2 linked regions of the Mus musculus genome follow. The protein of the gene in region 1 purifies or fractionates together with the protein of each later gene. This does not show direct contact. Links are inferred from orthologs where the notes say so. Each region holds a gene or a part of one and is shown on either strand. Other genes may lie near its edges.

The links. The genes of interacting proteins can lie anywhere in the genome.
Region 2: the proteins of Cox6b1 (region 1) and Chchd4 purify together in Homo sapiens (co-immunoprecipitation; 3 studies listed by BioGRID and IntAct, with this or other methods). This does not show direct contact. The link is inferred for Mus musculus from reciprocal best matches to the Homo sapiens genes COX6B1 and CHCHD4.

What each region holds. Positions count from the first base shown.
Region 1 is NC_000073.6:30,622,592-30,627,797, forward strand, and holds the start of Cox6b1 (cytochrome c oxidase subunit 6B1), read right to left. Parts: upstream 3,524-5,206; 5' UTR 3,460-3,523; intron 2,023-3,459; 5' UTR 2,015-2,022; coding exon 1,909-2,014; intron 925-1,908; coding exon 824-924; intron 1-823. UniProt on the Homo sapiens protein: Component of the cytochrome c oxidase, the last enzyme in the mitochondrial electron transport chain which drives oxidative phosphorylation.
Region 2 is NC_000072.6:91,470,219-91,475,431, forward strand, and holds the start of Chchd4 (mitochondrial intermembrane space import and assembly protein 40), read right to left. Parts: upstream 3,206-5,213; 5' UTR 3,120-3,205; coding exon 3,098-3,119; intron 1-3,097. Other genes in the region: Tmem43 (transmembrane protein 43), read left to right, coding at 3,669-3,680.

The DNA.
Region 1 (5,206 bases):
CCTGCGCCTGTAACCCCAGCTCTCAAGAGGCTGAGGTGGAATCTCAGGAGTTCAAGGTCATTCTTGACCACAGAGCAACTTTGAGGACAAAGACTCTGTCTGGCAACCAGCACCCCAGAGGCCAAAGCAAATCAAGGGGCAGAGTACCTAGTCTGAGAGGCTGGAGTGCAGACCCACCATTTAAGCATACCCGTTGCCCTTCCTGAGGACCCAGACTATTCCTAGCAACCACGTGGTGGCCCACAAGCATCTCTAACTCCAGTCCAGGCCCAAACCCTCTACTTACTGCCACAGGCACTAGCACAGACATGGATGCTGTACAACCTCTCTCTCTCTTTCACACTCTCACTTTTTAAAAGCATGATAGGGTTTTCAAGTAGCCCACCATGATCTGAGTGCTAGGGTTTCAGGTGTGCTACCACCACACCAAATTAAATAGCACATTTTGATTTTAAGACACGTGTTTGGGGGCCTTTTTTCCCCCTCGGCGTTTTGAGACAGGGTTTCTCTGTATAGCACAGGCTGTCCTGGAACTAGCTCTGTAGACCAGGTTGGCCCCAAACTCAGAGAGATCTGCCTGCATCTGCCTCCCAAGAGTGCTGAGAATTAAAGCCGTGGGCCACTACTGCCCAGCCCAAGCCTGTGTTTCTTCAGTGCATGGGCAAGGAGGGTGGTCCTGGGCTAAGGGCCCTCACTGAGCAGGGATCAGTGACATTCCATGGCTGGTCCTCGCTTGACCCTTGGAGGTGAACTCTCACTAGCCATACTCGTCTCTGCTACCTCCCTACCTGACCACCCAAGGGTCCCGTCGGGAGGCACATACCCATGACACGGGACAGAGGGACTTGTACACACGCCGGTACCACTCACACACGGAGACATCACCCCCCTTGGCCGTCATTGCCTTCTCACAGCGGTGGAAGTCTGTGAAGAAAAGAGGTTCCAAATCAACCCCGACTAAGCACATTTCAGAGGAAAATCCACAAATGCTTTTTGCTTTAAGATTGCTTATACATACAGAGGGAATGCAAACTTACAAGTACACCATAAAGAGCTATATACGCCTGACCTGGGCAGTTATATAGAACATTCTGGAGCTAGGAATGACAGCAAAGTATGAGGGGCATATATCAGAATTATGGAAGTCCAGACAGGGCTAGGGAAGGGGAAGGTAGTGTTGATCATATCTGAGGAAGACAGGACAGGTACCAGCGGGGTTTTTAATTCTTGTTAATGGTTAGTTTTTTGTTTTTTGTTTTTCTTTGTTGAGGGAAGGTCTCATGGGCTCAAGTAAGGCAGGGGCCCCAAATGTCTCTAGCAAAGAGAGAGGAAAGGGACAGTGTTTAAGACCGGGCCCAAAGCAAGCTGAGAGCAGAGTACTGGCAATATTCATTTTTATCCATGGATTGTGACTATGTCTGAATCAACTTTTTTTTTAAAGATTTATTTATTAATATATCAAGTACACTGTAGCTGTCCTCAGATGCACCAGAAGAGGGCGTCAGATATCATTACGGGTGGCTGTTAAGCCACCATGTGGTTGCTGGGATTTGAACTCAGGACCTTCGGAAGAGCAGTCAGTGCTCTTACCTGCTGAGCCATCTCACCAGCCCCTGAATCAACTGTTTACATACTGTATTTACTTGTATGTTGTGTGTGTATGTGGCACACACATAAGATGTATATGTAATTCATATATACATGTATAATTATATTCTTCAAAAAATTTATTGTTGAGACCAAAGTTTATGACCTGGAGAGCTAGTTTGAGGGGTCGGGCCCTCCAGAGGGTACGTCCAGAGTGAAGGAAACCAGGCTGGAACGCACATGTCCCTGCTCCCCAACTTCCTTTCTGAGGTTGGAGGTACATGGGAGACCCAGGCAGGCCCACTATGGTACTCTGCTTACCCAGGTAGTTCTGCCAACAGTTCTTAGTCTGGTTCTGGTTGGGGAAGCGGCTGTCAAAGGGGGCAGTTTTGTAGTTCTTGATTTTAGTCTTGATGTCTTCAGCCATCCTGACTCCTGGATGCAAACAGAGTGGGAATGTTGGCAACCATTCTGGAGGTGCTGGGTGTGGGGATGTCAGGCCAGAGCAGAATAACAGGCTGAATGTGAATAAACCATTATCTCCCCCTTCTTCACAAACACAGAAAGATGAAGGGCAGGGAAAACCCATATATCTGAGTACAGAAGCCACAGTAGGGTTGGACAGAGGTCTCCTTGGCAAAACCAATCTTCATCCTTAAATTCCAGTTAACGCTCACTGTGTGCACAGCACATACTATGTGTACTCTATACATACCTACCCCATGGCCACTCTAAAAGATATTGCTACCTCTGTTGTCTACACAAGGGACAGGGTGTCTAAATGACTTTCCAAGGTCACACAGCACCCAGTGATAATGCTTCATCCATCACCAGCAAAAACACTGCAAGGATTTTCTGGTGTCACCGGCTAGTTTTCTGGCGTCACACACTCATCTGAGGTCCAATGAACTCAAACTTTGCTCAGAATATGCCTAAATGCATTGTGGGATTGCCTAAGATGTGTCCCCCCCCACCCCGCTCCAAAAAAAAAAAAAAAAAAAAGCTCAAAGGACTTAACAAGTAAAGTACAACTGGAGGTAACCATGACTGAAGATTTGTGACTCTTGTAACTGGCATGTGTCAGGTATCTGTGATTTTGCCTGCTGACAATGGCCCAGGCTACCAAATCTATTGACGTTGCTGCCTCCATTCCTAATGGAAGTAAATACTGGAATTCGATTAGAACCCCACGCAAACCGCCCCCCCCCCAATCATTCAAATACTTTAGCTCCTTGAGTTTTATCGACTTCTCTCAGCTTTGATATGTCTGAAGAGATGACATAGTCAATATCAACAGACCTGAGAGAAACTGTCTCTAGAGCATCTGGGGGACCTTGACACCACAGAGGTGCCAGTGTCAACTGAAGTAGTCCAAACAAGTGGGGTATTTGGGCAGGTTCATTGAAGGAGGCAAGGTGGGCACGGGGGATTTAAAAGACTCAGTGTCGGAAGTAATTTTGGACAATATCTCGAGTTTTGAGAGTTGATCAAAGATGACGCTGAGGGGAAAGACACGAGTCAAGGCGACAGGCTTCGGCCTTGGAACGCGGGTGGCCACGCCTGTGAACTCGCAACTAAAAGCTCCACAGTCCAATTTACTGGGTCTAAATCCGAATTGCCTTATAGCCACGGGTAAGGCGCTTCACACTCCAGCCCCAACGCTATCAAAGGGGACTTGTAGGGCTGAAGGATGGAGTAATAGGGACTGCTTAGAAAGCGACCTAGCCATCATGAAGAAAGGCGGCTATAATGGTTAGCTCCAGGACACCGGACCCGTGGCCGCCGGAAGTTTCTGCTTGGCGTCAGGGAAGCCCCGGGGCGCTTCTCTGCAACGGACAAGGTTCCCCCAGGATCCCGACCCTTCACACTCACCTAAAGATTGTCCCGGAGTAGCGTTACTTCAATGTGACCCTTAGCAAAGACGCCAATGTCAGACGGGAAGCGGAATTCCGACTGGCCGGAAGCTGCGAGAGGAGGAGCCGAGCTGAGTCCTCCGGGCTGCTAGATTGGCCTCGGGAGGCGTGCCCAGAAACCGCTTTGGCCACGCCCACTTCCGAAGAAGCCCGACCTCCTATTGAGCTAAATTTCTGCTTATTATTGTTGCTGGGCCAATCGAGATTTTACTTTGCTCTTAAAAGGCACCTGACGTTCAATTATGGGTTATTATCACCTGCCTGTCCTTCCCAGAGGGAAAAGCATAAGACTGTCTTCAGAGTGGGAATGGAAAAGTGTCACAGATAATCTGTGTTTTGAAATAGGACTTCGCTGTATATCTCAGACTGGCCTCGAAATTTTGATCACAGATTACTAGGTGTTAGGATAACAAGCGTTTACCCCTGTGCCTTGATTCGAAAGTTATTTATATTTATTTATTTGGGTTTTCGGGATAGACAATCTTAGTTTGTGTTTTATTGCAGTGAAGAGACATCATGTCTACGGCAACTCTTTGTTTGTTTGTTTGTTTGTTTGTTTGTTTGTTTTTCGAGACAGGGTTTCTCTGTATAGCCCTGGCTGTCCTGGAACTCACTTTGTAGACCAGGCTGTCCTGGAACTCACTTTGTAGACTCAGAAATCCGCCTGCCTCTGCCTAACTAGTGCTGGAATTAAAGGCATGGGCCACCACGCCCGGTTTATGGCAACTCTTATAAAGGAAAACAATTAAGGGCTGGCTTACAGTTTCAAGTTTCGTCCATTATCATCATAATTGGAAGCAATGTGGTGAATTGCTCTGATCCTTGAGGGTTGCTGTTTCTGCTGCTTTTCTGCATAAACTGGAATCCAGAAGAAGTAGGCTCCAAAGGAAGTACTGGCAAAGCAAGTACCTGTCCCTTCTTCCATTGTCCTTATATAGGCCTCCAGCAGAAGATATGGCCCAGAATAAAAGTGTGCTTCAAGACCTGTAGGAGTCATTCCTCCTAGAGGTCTGGATCAAAAGCCTGTGTCTTCCAGCCTTAAGGTCCAGATTACAGGCATGTTGTCTTCCTGCCTCAAGTCCGGATTACAGGTGTTCCCTATGTTTCTGGATTATAGTTCATTCTATATATAGTCAAGTTGATAATTGAGAGTAGCCATCCACATAGGGGTTCTCTGTGTAGCCCTGGAAACTCATCTATCTATCTATGGGTGTCCTAGAACTCACTCTGTAGGCCAGGCTGGCCTCGAATTTTTATCTGCCTGCCTCTGCCTCCCCGAGTGCTGGGATTAAAGTGCTGACATGGGTTTAAGTTAATAGAAAGTTTTTATTAGGTCTCCAGTGATTACACTAGGTGTTTGGGATCTTGGTGTAGCACCAAGCCCTTTTTAGAGTGAATTTTTACACACAAAACCTGTATTCTGGATTGACATAATTCAGTTCATAAGATAGCTAGCTGGACAGTGGTGGTGCACGCCTTTAATGCCAGCATTTGGGAAGTAGAGGCAGGAGAATCTCTGAGTTTGAGGGCAGCCTGGTTTACAGAATGAGTTCCAGGACAGCTAGGGCTACACAGAGAAACCCTGTTTTAAAAAAGGGGTGGGGGGCTGGCGAGATAGCTCAGTGGGTAAGAGCACTGACTGCTCTTCCTAAGGTCCTGAGTTCAAATCCCAACAACCACATGGTGGCTCACAACCACCCTTAATG
Region 2 (5,213 bases), on another chromosome or scaffold:
TAGAGACAAGGCTCAGTGATTGAGAGCAGTTCTATGGGATCCCATGTCCTCTTGTAACCACCCCAGACACCAGACACACAATTGATGCACCTATATACAGTCAGGCAAAACATTTATATGCAAAAATTAAACCTTTTTTAAAAGGAAAATAACTATTATACCCATACACTTTCAATACTTTCTGCTTGTATCAGGACTTGAGGGGGAAGCAAGTCAGAGCTTACATGTATCAAGTGGAGAAGAACTGACTAGGGTAGGGAATGTCTACAGAAAGTGGGGGTGGAGGGTGGGGTGGGAAATCCCAGGGTTGGGAGTCCATCCGGGGATAGGATAGTTTAAAAGGACTGGGGCCATCACCCAGTCTGTAGTATGCTGGCTGAGCATGCTCACAAAAGTCCAAGTTTGATCCCTGCACTAAATAAAGGAGGCACAGTAGCCCGCACAAGTCCTAAAAGAGGTAGAGGAAAGATTAGGAACTCAAGACCAAGTGAAACCTGAGGCAAAAGGTGGCTCTAAGAAGCCAGTGTTCATTCTCTCCTGGTCTGAAGACTGGGAAGGGTTTGAGGAAAGAGCATCTGAAATGGTCTTCCAAGCCCTGGCAACCCCTGCAGAACCTCAGTGTCTCAGCACAGTTCCTGCTGTCTGTAACTACCCATCCATCCCGGAGTGCTTTAATGCCAACTTCTTCTTGTTCTGTAAAGATCCAAAGTGCCACCTCACTCAGTGCACATCACACTGCAATAAAAAAAGTTTGCTGAATGAACAGAAAGAGGCAGGCTGTTTATTATTAGGAGGAAAGTAAGGAACCATGTGTGGAATTGACAGAAACACCAAGAGCACAAGGCCAGACTGAGGCTTCATCCACACGGTGGGACTCTCTTAATGTCAATGAGGTCTTTAACCTGGAGACTGACTAGATGTATGGACTGTTGACATAACTGTCCAGGCAACCATTTGCCTAATTAGAATGGTGGATAGGCATGAGCCTGGGGTCACTCTATTAAATCCTGAACACCCACAGTATACTAGGCCTTCTGCCATCTCTCAGCTTGGTGGGAGATAATTTCAGTGTGTTTATAGAGACACAAAGTATCAGGGAAGACCTGGTGGCATTGAAGCTGGGTTTTTTGCTTGTTTTCTTTCTCTTTTAAAAAGATTTATTTATTTATATGAGTACATTGTAGCTGTCTTCAGACACACCAGAAGAGGGCATCAGATTCTATTATAGATGGTTGTGAGCCACCATGCGGTTGCTGGGAATTGAACTCAGGACCTTTGGAAGAGCAGTCAGTGCTTTTAACCACTGAGCCATGTCTCCTGCCCATTTCTCTTGTTTTTTTTTTTTTTTTTTTTTTTTTTTTTTTTTTTTTTTTTCCTGAGACAGGGTTTTCCCTGTAAAATAGCTCTGGCTGTCCTAGAACTCAGAGGACTCCACACACCTCTGCTTTCCAAGTGAGGGATTAAAGGCATGTGCCACCACGCCCGGCTTTGGGCTGGTTCTTAAAGGATAAGTTAGCAATTCAGAGAGCTGGAGGAAGAAAGCACCTGACAAAGGGCACAGCCAGAAGAGCTGAGGAGCAGGAGGAAGAACATGAGACTGGAAGAATAACACCGCATGGTCTCCTAAGTCCTTACATACTATTTTTTGGTTTGTTTTTGGACAGGATCTCACTATGTAGCTCTGGCAGGCCTGGAACATGCAATTTATTTTACACTGGCCTTGAACTCACAGAGACTGTAGGTAGCGGCATGTGTTTTTAATTCCAGAATTTGGGACGAAGAGAAGAATTTGAGTTAGGGGCACATACTGAGACTGTCTCAAAAACGGAGAACCACTAAACACATACACACACACCTTTTGAACCAGGAAGAAGACGGGCTCTATGTTGCATTAGCAGCTGATGGACCCATCCTCCTTCCTGAAAAACCCGAGGTCTGTAAATCCATCAAGAGGGGTAGAAATGTTTATCTGCATAGCCTCCTTAACTCAAAGACTCGTCATCAACCTACCAACTAGGTTGGAGGAAACAAAAGTCATCCTAGGAATCCGCCTAACAGTGCTGGGTCAAGGACTTTCGTATGCGGAACACCAAGTGCTAACCAACAGAAACAGTCCTCGGGAGAGGCACCAATGATGATGCTGGGAAGGAGGGGGTTCTACAGCGGACTGGGGCCTTCTAACTGGATGTATGGCCTTGGGTGGATCACTTCCTCCTTTGTACCTCATGTTCTCTAGACTTAAGAGTAAAGGAGCTGAGAATTCTGGGTGAACCAAGTCTCTCTGTAGCTTTGTATTCTCAAGAGCCCTCCAACTCTTTCCTGCCTTGGGCACGTGCTTCGTGAATACCAGAGTAAATGACGCCTGATCTCTCAATTTACAGGAGTGGAAACTAGGGCCTGGCGGGTTTGGCAGCTCAGACATAAGAAGCCAGTCAGTGCTGGGAGACCTTAGAGCAACAGATTGGTCTGGATTCTTCTGGGTTGCTGCTTACAGGTAACAACAGGTAGTGAGTGGTCCTCAACGTGGCTAGAAATGACGGAAGAAAGGAAGCTCTTTCATAGCGGGTCCCGGTTTCGTGACCTGATGTGGGTTCCTGGATCGAGTAACCTGTCTTAATTTTCCGTTTGATAAGACGTGGACAGTAAGGGAACCCGACATATAAAAATGGCTACGTTAAGTTTAAAAGCGTGCCTAGTACACAGAAGGCGCTCACTAAATGCTCCTGCCAGATGCACTTCAGCACGCCCACTCTAGCCCAAGCGGTAATTTTTCGGGATAGCTAAAAAGCCTGGGCGGGATAGAACCACGTGGGGAGTGCTAGGAGCGACGGTGTCTAATTCCTAACAGTCCCCGATTCCCAGCCAGAGACAACGTGCTCCACACTGGCCAGGCCCACGTGAGGCCCTCCGAGGCCCGGGTTCGGGCTTCACCTTGACCTTGGACCGGCCTCGTTCCTCACGGAGCCTCTGCCTCTCTCGTCTGGAAACCGCCGCGTGAGGCCCACTAAAGGGCCCACAGCCGCTCGGTGGAGACCACTTGATCGCGTGTCTCTCGCAGGCCCGTCCCGGCCGGTCTCCATGGCAGCGCCCGACTCACCTTCCTGCCGGCAGTAGGACATGGTTGTTCCCGACAGTCCTCTGCAGCTCGCAGAGGCAGCGGGCGCGGCTGGAGCGGATACACCTTCTCGCCGTGACCTCCCTCGCCGCTTCTCAGGCCTGGCGGGTGGCACTGAGGCCCGCACAGACCCGCCCCCTCCAGGCCTGCCCGCCGCGCGCCTGCCTCCGCGCGTCCTAAGCACCAGAACCGCTTCTCAGTCGAAAACTACACTGACCAGCAGCCCTTGCGCCTCTCCAACTAGACCGATACTACATTTCCCAGAAATCTTGCAGCGCGCACGCGCACCAGTGAAATACAGTGGTTTGTAATTTTGTGGCGAACGTGTCAGACGTCGGACTACATTTCCCAGCAGCCCTTAAGATGCGCACGCGCAGACAACTTGAGGCTTAGGCAGGGCGGTAACTTTTGTCCTGCGTCCCGCCAGGTCCTGGATTCCACGAGAAGTCTTGCAGCTCTGTGGCAGACAGGAGGTCACCGTATTCTGCGTTCCGGTCGTCAGCCCAATTCCTAGCGGAATAGAGCAAGACGGCGGCAGCGAACCAAGCCCACCATGGCAGCGAACGTAAGTGCTTCCTGATGCCCGGGTGACACCATCATCCGGGCCGCTTTTTCCCTGGATCCGCGCTGGGTCTTACAGGGGTGCTACCCCAGTGGGTGCAGCTGCCCTCAGCTCTCTGAGCTTCTCCATCTCGGGCTGCGCGTTTGTGGGCCTCAGCAATTAGTCGAGTCCGCTCGTGCACGGCTGCTTCTTCCACTCCTAGTTTCTCTCTGGGCCCCTGGGGATACGAAACTTGGGGAACTTGGGGAACTGAAGGACCACGGGGAAAGTGTCTATTGGTGAGCAGACTGATGAGGTGATCCTGCCCAGGTGGAACTGTCCAGCAAATGCTTCTTTGGTCTTCGCTCCCTAGGGGGTGTGTACTCAAAGGCTGTGTGATGCTACTGTAGCTGGACTAGCCTGGCTGGATGACGTGGAGAGGGAGACTTTTCTCTGCTGCCGGGTTCCTGGTGCACTGATTTGGTTAGAGCCCCTAGCTGAGGATAGTTCACCCAGACCTCTGGCCTCTTCCTACTGCAACTAGTCCTTAAGAATTTTCCTAGTGAATCTTAACATTCATTCAACAAACGGAGCAACACCACCTACTAGGGGACTGGGTGTGGGAGAAGCCGGTGAGTCACCAGTGCCTCTGGTGAAAGCGCCTCTGAAGCCATCTCAGGAGCACTGCCAGCCCCAGGCACACCCTTACTCCCTCCTTGGTAGAGTGTCACTACAGCCCTCCTTGGGCCTGTTACACCCTCTTCCCAGGCCCCTCCTCAGTCCGGCAGACTTCACCTCCTGGGAGGCCGGAGTTTGTTTCACCCACTGTGCAAGCAATATCTGTTTGGCATATTGTCTGGCCCTGGCAGGGGAAGAGAACCAAAGGTTAGGAATGCTGCACTGGAGCCAGAGGAGAAGGCAACCAGCAGGCCAGCCTGGCAAGAGCAGGCAGACCCCTTCTGATCCATCTCATCAGCGTCATATCTCACCGTTCCCCAGAAGAAGACACCTGCTTGGGGGCTCGTAGCCAGCTTGGCATGCTACATCCCCAGCCTGGGAAGGTGCTGATGAGGGCAGACTTTGGAGACAAGCCCGGAGGCAAATCCAGATTCTTCTACTCTAACTCCTTTGGGTTTACTCTCTCATGGGATCAGTTACTTTGAAATTTGAGGAAGGTTGCTGGGCACAGAGCCTGGTACATGGGAGGTACTTAATCCTTGAAAAAGTTACTCTTAGAGGCTAGCCCACACAGTCTTGGTAGGCAGAGACCATCTTGGATTCTCACACTAACAAACATAGACACAATGGGATATCTTCAGATGTCTTTGTCCATTTATTGTTATATTACTTTCCTGGGAAGACTTGAGCTTTTATTAATGTCAGCAGGATAGCCATAGACCAACTCCATCTTGGTGAACCAAAGAGGTTATCTTGGGTGACTGATGGAGGTGTGTGCCGTCCCTTCTGTTAGCCCCCTGTCTCCTGTATCCTCTAGCAGTACTGTACACTGCTGGGGGTGTGACATAGGAGGAGGTGAGAGGCTAGAATCTCAGGTGA